3 linked regions of the Nothobranchius furzeri genome follow. The protein of the gene in region 1 interacts with the protein of each later gene in a biochemical or structural test. Links are inferred from orthologs where the notes say so. Each region holds a gene or a part of one and is shown in the gene's direction. Other genes may lie near its edges.

Region 1 (3,755 bases):
CACCCCTGGCCACGATGTTGCCACAACTGCCCCGGGGCTCACGAACAGAGGCGAGGCTGCCGTATACAGGTGCCATTGGTCCCTCCGACCACCACCTGCAGGCAAAACGGGTTAAGTGTCTTGTCCAAGGAAACAACAACACCAACAGACAGGGCTAGAATCTGCAATCCTTCGATTATGGGGTGGGCTCTTAATATACTGTTATTTTGTCTTGTAATAGTTAATTACACACTCCTTTATTCCATATCATAGCAGTGTTATTCATATATTAAAATTGTCAACTGCACACTCATTTGGCAGAATAAAAGTTTGACAATTATTCATTTGTTCTTTATTGTCACATTTCAGTAACAGTTATAATTAAACAAGTTGTAATTCAACAAATTAAATAAATGACTACAACATTTCCCCCTGTTAAGTGCAGTAGACTGAAATGAATAGCTTTATTTGGAAATATAACATATCTAATTTTTAATGGACTTACATAAAATCTTTCTTCAACATAGACCCCACTAATTAACTGATTAAGTGTTATTTTTATAAAAAGAAGAGAGAAAATGCACAAAGGTAGGAAAGGAAAAGAAAGTGATGAAATAATAGGTTTTGTTAAATGTTCTTCATATAATGAATTAATTGACAAAGTTTTTGCAGGGTGTGACAAAAAACGTTCAAGGTCAAGCTCCTGGGGCTAAGCCCCCCCATATCTCAATCCTAGTGACGTCCATGGTGCAGCACATTCAGGCTCAGGAACTCACCTGTCATCGTCCAACGTTAATCACGACTCTCCATGTGGGTCCGCAGACATTTCTGTACATATTTCTGTAAAAGTTCACAAATACACGAGCAAGCTACAAGGTTTCTACTATTTTCACATAGAAGTCTATTTTGCGATTTTCTAAACACTCTCTAAACCATTAAGTGTGCAATATTCTACACATTTTTCTCAGTAAAATAAATTCATATGTTCACTTTTACGTTTGCTCATAAAACAAAAATATTTTATCGTGATTTTGTATTTCGAAATGTTTGTGCATTGTTTGAAAGCATCTTTTAGTCCCAAGTTTTACTATTTTATCAACAGCTGTGGTTTATTTCAGACATGAGAGGCACGAGCCAAACTGGAAGCACTGGTTTTCACTCCCCGAACAATCATTTACTTTTAAACAGCATGTGGTTTCAAAAACACCTACAAGTGAGTAGCAAATCTGAATAAACTAATTAAGAGGCTGATAAAAAGCTAATGAATGTGTATGGCGGTCTAATTATAAACTGACACATACTGATCTGTTATTTATATTTATATCGAGGTTTCACTGACTAACGAGCAGGAGAAAACAGAGAAAATAGCAAGACGCAACAGGAAAAGGAAATACGAGGATGTCACGTGATCGTACGTTGTCTAGGAAACGCATTCATTGCCTGCCTGATGGACCAATCAGATGCTCGGAGAAGTCAAAGCGCAGCGAATCAGCTTGCAGCGCACGAGGATTTAAACGAAGACAGCGAGTCTTTAGCTGAACTCGTTCGCTCGGCATTACGACTCTTTCACTGCTTGTCGGAACCACGCAGACTTGAAAATGGCTCTTCGAGTGACCAGAGTGAGTCTTTAGTCGGGTCTTACAGCTCTTTATCCGCGTAAACACGCCTAGAAACATGTCGAATGATTAGTATTAGCGTTTAAAATGCTTCCGTGCTTCGGTGTACCTCACCAGTTCAGGCACTGTCCTGCTGAGAGTTCAGAGTCAAACCTGAAGCGGATTTTGTGTTTATAGATGAACGACATGCAGCAGCGGCTAAAGGACTCTTTTGTTTCTCTGCAGACTCGGCTCGGTTCTACCAGAACCGAGCTCGGAGGAGGGAAGGCCTGCATGAACGGGCCCAAGCAGAAGCCTCGAGGCGCGCTTGGTGAGATCGGAAACGTCCCGCTGAACAAAGAGGTTCAGAAAAAGGTGAGAAGTTTTAAATACTCGAGTTTTTATGGTATTAATAATATTCACACGTGAGAACTTCATGCGTCTACTTTAGACTCGATGTGATGAAGTCATTTTCTTTTAAAGCGCTGCTAACATGTAGAGCACATGCTAGCAGACATGCTGCTGTTAACGTGCTATTTAAATAAAGTGGTGGACAGGTAAAGGTTTTTTTTAATCCCATAATAACACGTTCAAGTAGGGGGCGCTGCAGAGCCCCGGTGCCTGGAAGAAGCCATTTTCATGCACACATCCACCTAGAAGGTACTCTTGCATTGGACATGTCACCTTCTTAAAGCCCCGCCCTAGCCTTGGTGACTCACCTGGATGCAGCCTGGCTGCCTCACTAGGGATGCTTACTTTAAAGTGGGTAATCGGATCTGTTTAGCGTACCTGCGTAAACTTGTCAAGACTGTATAATCTTCAGTTTAACTCTAGTGAAGCACCAGGTGATTTAATTTCTCCATGGGGGCTTCAACGACCATATTTGGATTTAGAATGTCAAGATCGATGCTGCAAAGAAGCCTGAAGTTGTACCTAAAGCGGTAAAGGTGGAACAGCCCAAGCCTCCGGTCGTCATTGCTGCTGACCCTGAGCCTGAAGTTCAGGTGAGTCATCTGATTAGTTTAAATCCTGATTCGATCCATGCGCTGACGCACCTGTAAAACGTGTTGAACTTCCTCTGCTCCAGGTGCCGCCTGAACCCACCTCGCCCACTCCGATGGAGACGTCTAGCTGCAAACCCGCTGATCTCTGCCAGGCGTTTTCAGACGTCCTGCTCCACACCGCTGTCAGGGACGTGGATGCGGACGACTATGACAATCCCATGCTCTGCAGTGAATATGTGAAGGACATCTACAAGTATCTCCGTCAGCTGGAGGTTGAGCAGAACGTCAGGCCCACTTACCTACAGGGTCAGGAGGTTACCGGGAATATGAGGGCCATCCTCATCGACTGGCTGGTGCAAGTGAGCCTCAAGTTCCGTCTGCTGCAGGAGACCATGTACATGACCGTTGGAATAATCGATCGCTTTCTTCAGGTAATTCCCACGCTCGTCGTCGGTGGGTAGACGTATCCACGTGTAGAGATTAAAGGTGTTAAATGTGCACGTTCCTGCGTCTCCAACAGGACCATCCAGTCCCCAAGAAGCAGCTGCAGCTAGTGGGCGTGACCGCCATGTTCCTTGCCTCCAAATATGAGGAAATGTATCCTCCGGAGATCTCGGACTTTGCCTATGTGACGGACCGGGCCTACACCACTGCTCAGATCCGGGACATGGAGATGACCATTCTGAGAGAGCTGAAGTTTCAGCTTGGCCGACCACTTCCCCTGCAGTTCCTCAGAAGGGCCTCAAAGATCTATGAGGTTTGTGTCGAGGCTAAAGTCCAGCTGATCTTCAGTGACTTGTCTGCTGACTTCTGCCTTTGGTCCACAGGTAACGGCGGAGCAGCACACTCTAGCCAAATACGTCCTGGAGCTCACCATGATGGACTACGAGATGGTTCATTTCCCTCCTTCTATGGTGGCCAGTGCTGCTCTGGCGTTCACCTTGAAGGTCCTGGAAGCAGGCGAATGGGTTTGTATGCGATTTTTAAAATACTCCTGTGTTACTAAAATGGGTTCATCACAGGCTAATGGCTACTCCGACTGATGCAACGAACATTAAAGAGCAAGTCACCCCCAAATCAACTGTTTTTTCTGATAAACTATATAAATGCGTGTCTAATCGTGCTGCAGACGCATGTAGTCAACAGTTTTGCACTTTAGTGCATTTTAGTTAAAATT
Region 2 (3,655 bases), on another chromosome or scaffold:
TTTCTAATTTTAATCACTAGCCACGTTTACATGCACACATTTAATCGGATTGAACGCCCAATGAGATCAAAAATTCTGCACATAAACACGTCAATCGGAAAGTTCTGATCCAATTCGGCCTGATCGGTATGAAATTTCAATCCGATAGAGAGGTAGTTTGTCCGATCCTCATTCCGGTTGACGTGCATGTACACAGCCATTCAGATTGTTGGAGTAAAGTAACACCCACTGTGCCTGTGCAACACCCAACAAGCCTCCCCGCCATCATTTGGACAACCTGACTTAAAAAATGACAACAAGCGCCAGCTTTTTAATTTGATGGCAAGCCGTCCCGTTTCTGTAATATCTAATCCAGAAGACAGAACTTGCATTTTGTGGAAGTGATATAAAAATCAGTAATCGGTAATGAGTCTGAATACCCCCCCCCCCCCCCCCCCCCCCGCAAGAGGCAAAGGCATATTGTTAAAAATAAAACACAGCAAAGCATACAGCTGCAATTATTCATGGAGGAAAACGTAACTTCTATGAGCAAAATAAAGACATTAAATTGATTAAATGAATCAGAAAAACAAGATGATTTGTTTTTTTCTGATTTTACATTTTTCATTTTGTTTCATGACGTTTACAATTTTTTTTTCCGGGAAAGAAAACTCTGAGCATGCTCAACCTATTTAATCTGAATAATTAGTGCATATAAACTCATGGCATGATTGGATCATTACTGCTAGTGTGCATTTGAACAGATTCGGGATTTCCGATCAACCGGGATTTGAATCGGATTGGGGAAACTTGGCGCATATAAACGTGGCTACTGAGGCCTGTCTTTGAGCAGTAAAAAAATAATTTTGGGTTTTCAAAATAAAGAAAAATCTAACTTTTGTGGCCCACGATGACTTAAATGTGATGTGTACTTTCTTGGAGGAAAGTCATCTAGCCCACTACATTTGGGAAAAATAAAAATGTTCAAAGGTCCGACCCCTTTCTTCATTGAGCCAGTAAATGATGAGATTTTGAAGCCTAATATTCCTTTTTTGCAGTTTTAACGATGTTTTTTCACACCTGACTTAAAAGAAGAAATACTAATTTATAACAGGCAAAATGAAACTATTTAATGCATTTTGAAGTCTGTTCCTTAGTAAGTCTTAAATATTCGTCTATAAAGCCTCTGTTTAGAGAAATGGCTCTCAGAGTGGATGAGCTAATGGCTAGTCTGAATGCTAGCATTCTAAAAAAAAGTAAATTAGAACCTTTCACACAGTTTTATAAATCTTACAGCCTAGGGCACATCGGAGACATTTTAAATAGAAGCCAGTATAGTTGATGAGTGGAAACACAAGGAGCGCCGCGTCCCAGAAGCGCGGCACTGAAAATGGGCGCCGTGGCTGTTTACGACATTGTGGGGTACTTTACAACAGACATTACGACGCGGAACGGCTTTACGGCACAAACCCAGCTGCAGCTTTGATAACTTCAAAGTACTATTGATCTTAAATTCTAATAAATTGCATGCTTATTTATTTTTATTGAATTAGTCTAACAAAACACGACGGCAAGTCTGATCACGTATGAGCAATAGTCAAATCCCGCTTCCTTTTCCCAAGTCCCGCATGATGTTGTAACTATCGCGCCTGTCTATCTCCGGTGTGCCCCAGGATTTAAACTGCAGTCACTGATTGGTGCATAAATACAACATTTCTGCTGAGTCCCTGGATGCACCAAAAGTGCTTAGTTGTTGAAGAGAGGATTAGGAATATTTCTCCAAACAAAGGCTGTTCAGGTGACCGTCTCCAGCAGGTTGCCAGTTACTGCGGGCTTTTTCTTTCCTTTCTGTGTTTATTTGTAATAAAAATGACTTGTTCTGTTCTTTTTCAGTTGACTTCTCCGACTGCACGCTGCGAACCAGGTTCCTTTTCACCACTGATGACAATCGTTTTGTTGTGCACTCAGATGGAACGTTAGCTGTGAGTGAAGCACTTCTGTTCAGGTTTTTATTTAAAGAGACGATGTGTAGTTTTTACCATTACTTTCTGGAAATATCCAACAAAATGTTGTTAAATGAATGCAAAGATGCCCATTTGTTGAAAAATATTGGCGGCTTTTGTAACATGTAACCATACAAATCAGGTCTAAAATACATGGGAGCCCATGTGGACAAAATGCATTTACTGATTTGTAACAGATGGTTACAAAACTTTGGTCGTACGTGTTTTACACATTCACCTCTTCACTTGTTGCCACTGATGAAAGGGCGTCTGATGTGCTTATTTTGCTAAAGCTTGATCTCCCCAGGGCTTTTTGACCCTGATGGGCATCCACTGATGTCTGCTTGCTTGCAATGATTATGGTATCTACTGCCCCCTATCGCCAGGAAAAATACACATGGTCACTTTAGTGTTCATCTCAGACCTGTTGAATGTTCTGGTGTTTTGGGTCAGTTCTGTTACAGAAATGTGGACCAGGGCTTTGGTGGACGATTAAACCATAATTCTGTCACACTGGTTGTAGAAAATATGAAGATATTTGAGATACTTTGGTGAAAATATGAATTCAGACATTTCATTTAACTGCGGCTCCCATCATTATTGTGGATGATGCATATTTTCTGTTAGTAACAGTGTTCTTTTGGACTATTGAAGAAAAAGATGTTAACAGTTTGGAATTTAATGAAAAATTTAAATTAGCTTCATAAACAAACCATTTAAGACATTCTAAACCCTTTTTGTGTTAGACATCTGGCATATTCAAGCTTTCTAAGTGTTGTTGAGTCCAGGCTTGTTGCTGAAGTCTGGCCTTCTCCTGCAGGTAAAGAGACCGGTTCTTCTTCACGAGGGACAATGGGACTTTTTTGTCCACTCCTGGGACTCGCAAGGCAAGAAAATGACTGTTCCTGTCCAGCTGCTGCGTCAGGGGCATCACCATGGAAACATGCAGAATGTGGAGCATCACCATGGGGCCCAGAACCAGAACTGTACAGAAGAAGGCTCGGAGGCAAACCCAGAAGGCTCGGAGGCAAACCCAGAGGTATCCTTAGAAGACCAGATGGGTCATAAGTTTCCTCTGATAAACGAGCTTTCAGATAGTTTCTGTTGAATTTCTTCTGTCCTTTTGTACAGATGAGGTTACTGTTAAGACACCGCCACCCTGTGGCCATATTTAGAACAACATCCTTTTGTCATTGTTTCCCATTACATTTATCATCCCCCCCCCCTTTTTTTTTATTTAAACACAAACAAGATGAAACGGATTATTTTAGGGGATGTTTTGAAGAGTTGAGCAATTCTCTCGGTTCTCTTGATCCTCATGGCTGTTTTTACTGTCGGAAAGCAAACATCCTCGTGTCAGATTACCAAAACTAAAATCTTTCTCCCTCTAAAGCCTCACTTCTGTGTCTTGACACCTGCTGGTCTCTGTATGGTCATGTCAGTTATTTTAGCAGATTTATATTGGCTACCTGTTTTTGTTTCTGTTACTAACTTCTGAAGCTTTAGCAAGTTTAATAACCATTTCCTAGAACCTGGGCCCTCATTCATCAAACGTCTGTAGAAATATTCCTAAATTCCTTCCTATTAACAAAATTTAGAATGTTCGTGCGAACGGTCAAAATCCTGATTTATGACTCACGCGGTGGCCTCTTGTACACACATTCCTCCACACT
Region 3 (3,755 bases), on another chromosome or scaffold:
GGATTATATAAGCTACCAGAGCTTCGTTCCCTTCCCATTGAACATGTTCTACATGTCTATGTGTATGTATATGTATATGTATATATGTATATATGTATATATATATATATATATATATATATATATATATATATATATATATATATATATATATATATATATATGTATATATGTATGTATGTATATGTGTATGTGTGTATGTGTATATATGCATATACATATGTGTGGGTTTCTTTTTGGAGACTTTTTGAATGCTTTGGGTTGTCTATTGATTTGCATGCATGTTCAATAAATAAATAAATAAAAAAAATAAAAAATAAACAAATATCATGACTTTGTGTTTTTTTAACTCAGTGTCATCCAAATGTCATGATTTTGGGGTGATTACTTCAAAGTTACCCAACCATCATGATTTTGGGTTATTCACCCCAAAGTCACCCAAATGTCGTACATTGGCCTCTAAAACACCAAAACACAAGGCCAATATTTTGTGCTAGTGGGTAGTTTCCTACCTAGTTTATATATATATATATATATATATATATATATATATATATATATATATATATATATATATATATATATATATACATATATATATATATATATATATATATATATATATATATATATATATATATATATGAGTTTATGTGGTTGCTAATTGTTTGTATAAGTGAATACATATGTCTTCTCGTTATCTAGACTAAATGTGGTATTATTGTGTGTGCTCATTTCATTTTATCTTATTTGTACAATGTTTTTCGACTTCTTGTGAATTGGAGTCCGTAATAAAGACTACTTGCACTAATTTAAAATCTTGGAAATTTTAAAATAGTATAACTTATTTTGAAAGAATTTATAGAAAGTGCTAATTACTTATGCCTTGTTTAGCTTTATGTAAATGCTGTAGTAACAGTTTACATCCGCTAAAGGGGGATAACCACTCTCGAAAGCCAGATATTAAATCGTTGAGTTTTTGTGTTTCCATCAAGTTGACAGCTCTGGAACAACTGCCACGATTCCATTACGATCATCGTGTTCGATCCTGTTTCATAAATACAAATTTAAATGTGTTTTATCAATTTCCCTTTTGGGATTGTAGCGCTTTTCCCCCACTGGGGACAGTGCTGTTTACGAGAGACGGAAGTGATGTAATTCCACAGGCAGCGTCAAAATAGAAGAAGAAGAACCGTCGACAATGGCGATGCACGACGGTGCTCGTCCCGGTAATTCAGATCAACATAAAGCTTTTCTCACTTCTCCAGAGAAAGTTCGCGAACTTCTCAGTGAGGGAGTATCTTCACCAGATGTCGGTTCCAACAGGTACCTGTTTGCACACGACCTCGTTTTCTGTTAAATACGGGGTTTCGTTCGGCGTTTGAGTTAGCCGCAGTAGCCTAGCCTCTCATTTTAGCAGTTGTTCTTAGTTCTGCTGCAGGAGGAGTTTCAGGTCTGCACAGACATAGTTGTCAGCCCGAAGGACATGACTGGGAGCATTCATGTGCATACCACTGTAATAACGAGACAAGTTTCAGATGTGCAACTTCAATTTACCAGACTTGCACCAGGCATTCGGGTCTAGCAGTTTAGGAAGTGTTATGAAAGTGGTAAGATGGTTTAGATTTACTTCATAATTCAGATCTACATACGTGCATAAAATAAGTTTTAGAAAACACTGAACATCGACCAATAAGAAGCAGACGTTTCTTTGGAATGGCGGAGCAACAAAACAATGTTTTATTGTGATTAGTAAAATTAGACCCAGATTAACCATAAGTCCTTGGGAATGTTTCCAGCAGTAGCATCGTTACAGTAATCAGTAGGTAAAAGAGGAAAAGCAAATGGGGCAGCACTTAAAGAAAAAGTTTAAAGTGTTAAAGGCCAAGTTCATTAAGAAAACATTTTTTACTTGTTATTTTGGAAATATGATCGGTCACTCTGAGTTTACACCACCAAACCCTCAGTCAGGAATCTTGGTGTGACCTTTGACCCAGCTCTAACCCTGGATTCTCATGTCAGTTCTCTTGCTGCTTTTCCTTCTTCCAACTCAGTCTTATTCTGTCTCGCTCTGAACTTGAGATTGCATTCCATACCATCATCTCCTCACGCTTAGACTACTGCAGCATTTGACACTGTTGACCATCACCTGCTACTGGAGAGGCTGAGAGACTGGGTAGGCCTATCAGGATCTGCTCTGGAGTGGTTCTCCTCTTATCTCTCTGAGCGCTCCTTTTCTGTGGCCGTCTCCAAGTTTAGGTCCTCCACCACCTCTCTTACCCATGGTGTCCCACAAGGTTCTGTGCTGGGGCCTCTGCTCTTCCTCCTCTATCTGCTTCCTCTTCTTCACATCCTGCGCTCCTTCAAAGGAATGTTTATGCAGATGACATCCAACTGTACATGTCCTTTAAGCCCCATGAGATGTCTAAGCTGCAGCTGTTACACACCTGCTTAGACTCTATCAAAACCTGGATGGCTGGGAGCTTTCTTTAGCTGAATGAAGATAAGACTGAGATCCTCATCTGTGCAAGCTGGTTCCCAAAGTCAGAGACTCTCATGGTCAGCTTGCTTCCCGCACCAAACCTTCTGTCAGGAATTTTGGTGTGACCTTTGACCCAGCTTTCACCCTGGATTCTCATGTCAGTTCTCTTGTTCGCTCTTCCTTCTTCCATCTCAGGAACATTGCTAAGCTGAGTCCCATTCTGTCCCGCTCTGAACTTGAGACAATTATCCACTCCTTCATCTCCTCACGCTTAGACTACTGTAACTCTCTTTTCAACTGTCTGAGCAGAACCTCCCTGAACCGACTACAGGTGGTTCAGAATGCCTGTGCTCGGCTTCTGACCAAGTCCTCCAAACACACCCACATCACCCCGCTTCTCCTCCAGCTTCTTTGGCTGCCAGTCAACTTCAGGGTTCATTTCAAGATCCTGGTTCTGGTCTATAGGGCCTTACATGGACAAGCACCATCTTACATTGGTGATCTTCTCAGTCCCTACCCCCCCAACAGGTCCCTGAGGTCCAGTGATCAAAGCCTACTGGTTGTGCAACATACCAGGCTAAAGACCAAAGGTGACAGATCATTTGCTGCTGTGGCCCCCCGACTCTGGAACTCTCTCCCCCTGAGCCTGAGATCAGTGGACTCAGTGGTCTCCTTTAAAAAGCAGCTGAAGATTCACTTGTTCAAGCTGGCTTTTGTATGACCTTCTTCACCACTCTCTCTTTATTCTGCTCTCCCCACCTATTCCACCTTCCTCAGGATCCACTGATTTCCCTCTTTCCTATTCACTCTCTCTCTTTCTTAACATTTTTTCTTTTAAATCCCAAATGCCTATTTTTGCTCATTTTAAATATATTTTTAAACATTTTCTAAATGCTTTTTTATATTTTAACTTTTTTTTATTTTATTTTGTGAAGCGCCTCGTGATTTTCATCTTGAGAGGCGCTATAGAAATTATATTTTCTTCTTCTTCTACTGCAACTCGCTTTTCACCTGTCTGAGCAAAACCTCCCCGGACCGTTTACAGGTGGTTCAGAATGCAGTTGAGCAACTCTAAAGTGAAGCAGCGTCAACTCAAAGACCTGCAGTGTTTCTGTGGTCTTCCTCAGAGCTCCACAGGCAATCAGGATGACTACAGCCTCGCATGAATGCTGGGCGGCTTGGCTGCAAGGCCGCACAATGCTGCTCTACAATTGGGCCCAACCCGGAAGTACCAAAAATTGCAGTTCCACCCTCATCCGCTGGGGGCTGGTGT

The links.
Region 2: of the proteins of ccnb1 (region 1) and B-cadherin, one has a biochemical effect on the other in vitro, tested with the Homo sapiens proteins (3 studies listed by BioGRID). The link is inferred for Nothobranchius furzeri from reciprocal best matches to the Homo sapiens genes CCNB1 and CDH1.
Region 3: of the proteins of ccnb1 (region 1) and zc3hc1, one has a biochemical effect on the other in vitro, tested with the Homo sapiens proteins (3 studies listed by BioGRID, with this or other methods). The link is inferred for Nothobranchius furzeri from reciprocal best matches to the Homo sapiens genes CCNB1 and ZC3HC1.

Annotation. Positions count from the first base shown.
Region 1 is NC_091746.1:73,743,098-73,746,852, reverse strand, and holds the start of ccnb1 (G2/mitotic-specific cyclin-B1), read left to right. Parts: upstream 1-1,465; 5' UTR 1,466-1,577; coding exon 1,578-1,598; intron 1,599-1,820; coding exon 1,821-1,949; intron 1,950-2,467; coding exon 2,468-2,578; intron 2,579-2,661; coding exon 2,662-3,009; intron 3,010-3,098; coding exon 3,099-3,335; intron 3,336-3,405; coding exon 3,406-3,546; intron 3,547-3,755. UniProt on the Homo sapiens protein: Essential for the control of the cell cycle at the G2/M (mitosis) transition.
Region 2 is NW_027223037.1:4,224,083-4,227,737, forward strand, and holds part of B-cadherin, read left to right. Parts: intron 1-1,872; coding exon 1,873-1,961; intron 1,962-2,802; coding exon 2,803-3,021; intron 3,022-3,655.
Region 3 is NC_091741.1:47,412,039-47,415,793, reverse strand, and holds the start of zc3hc1 (zinc finger C3HC-type protein 1), read left to right. Parts: upstream 1-1,160; 5' UTR 1,161-1,201; coding exon 1,202-1,326; intron 1,327-3,755. UniProt on the Homo sapiens protein: Required for proper positioning of a substantial amount of TPR at the nuclear basket (NB) through interaction with TPR.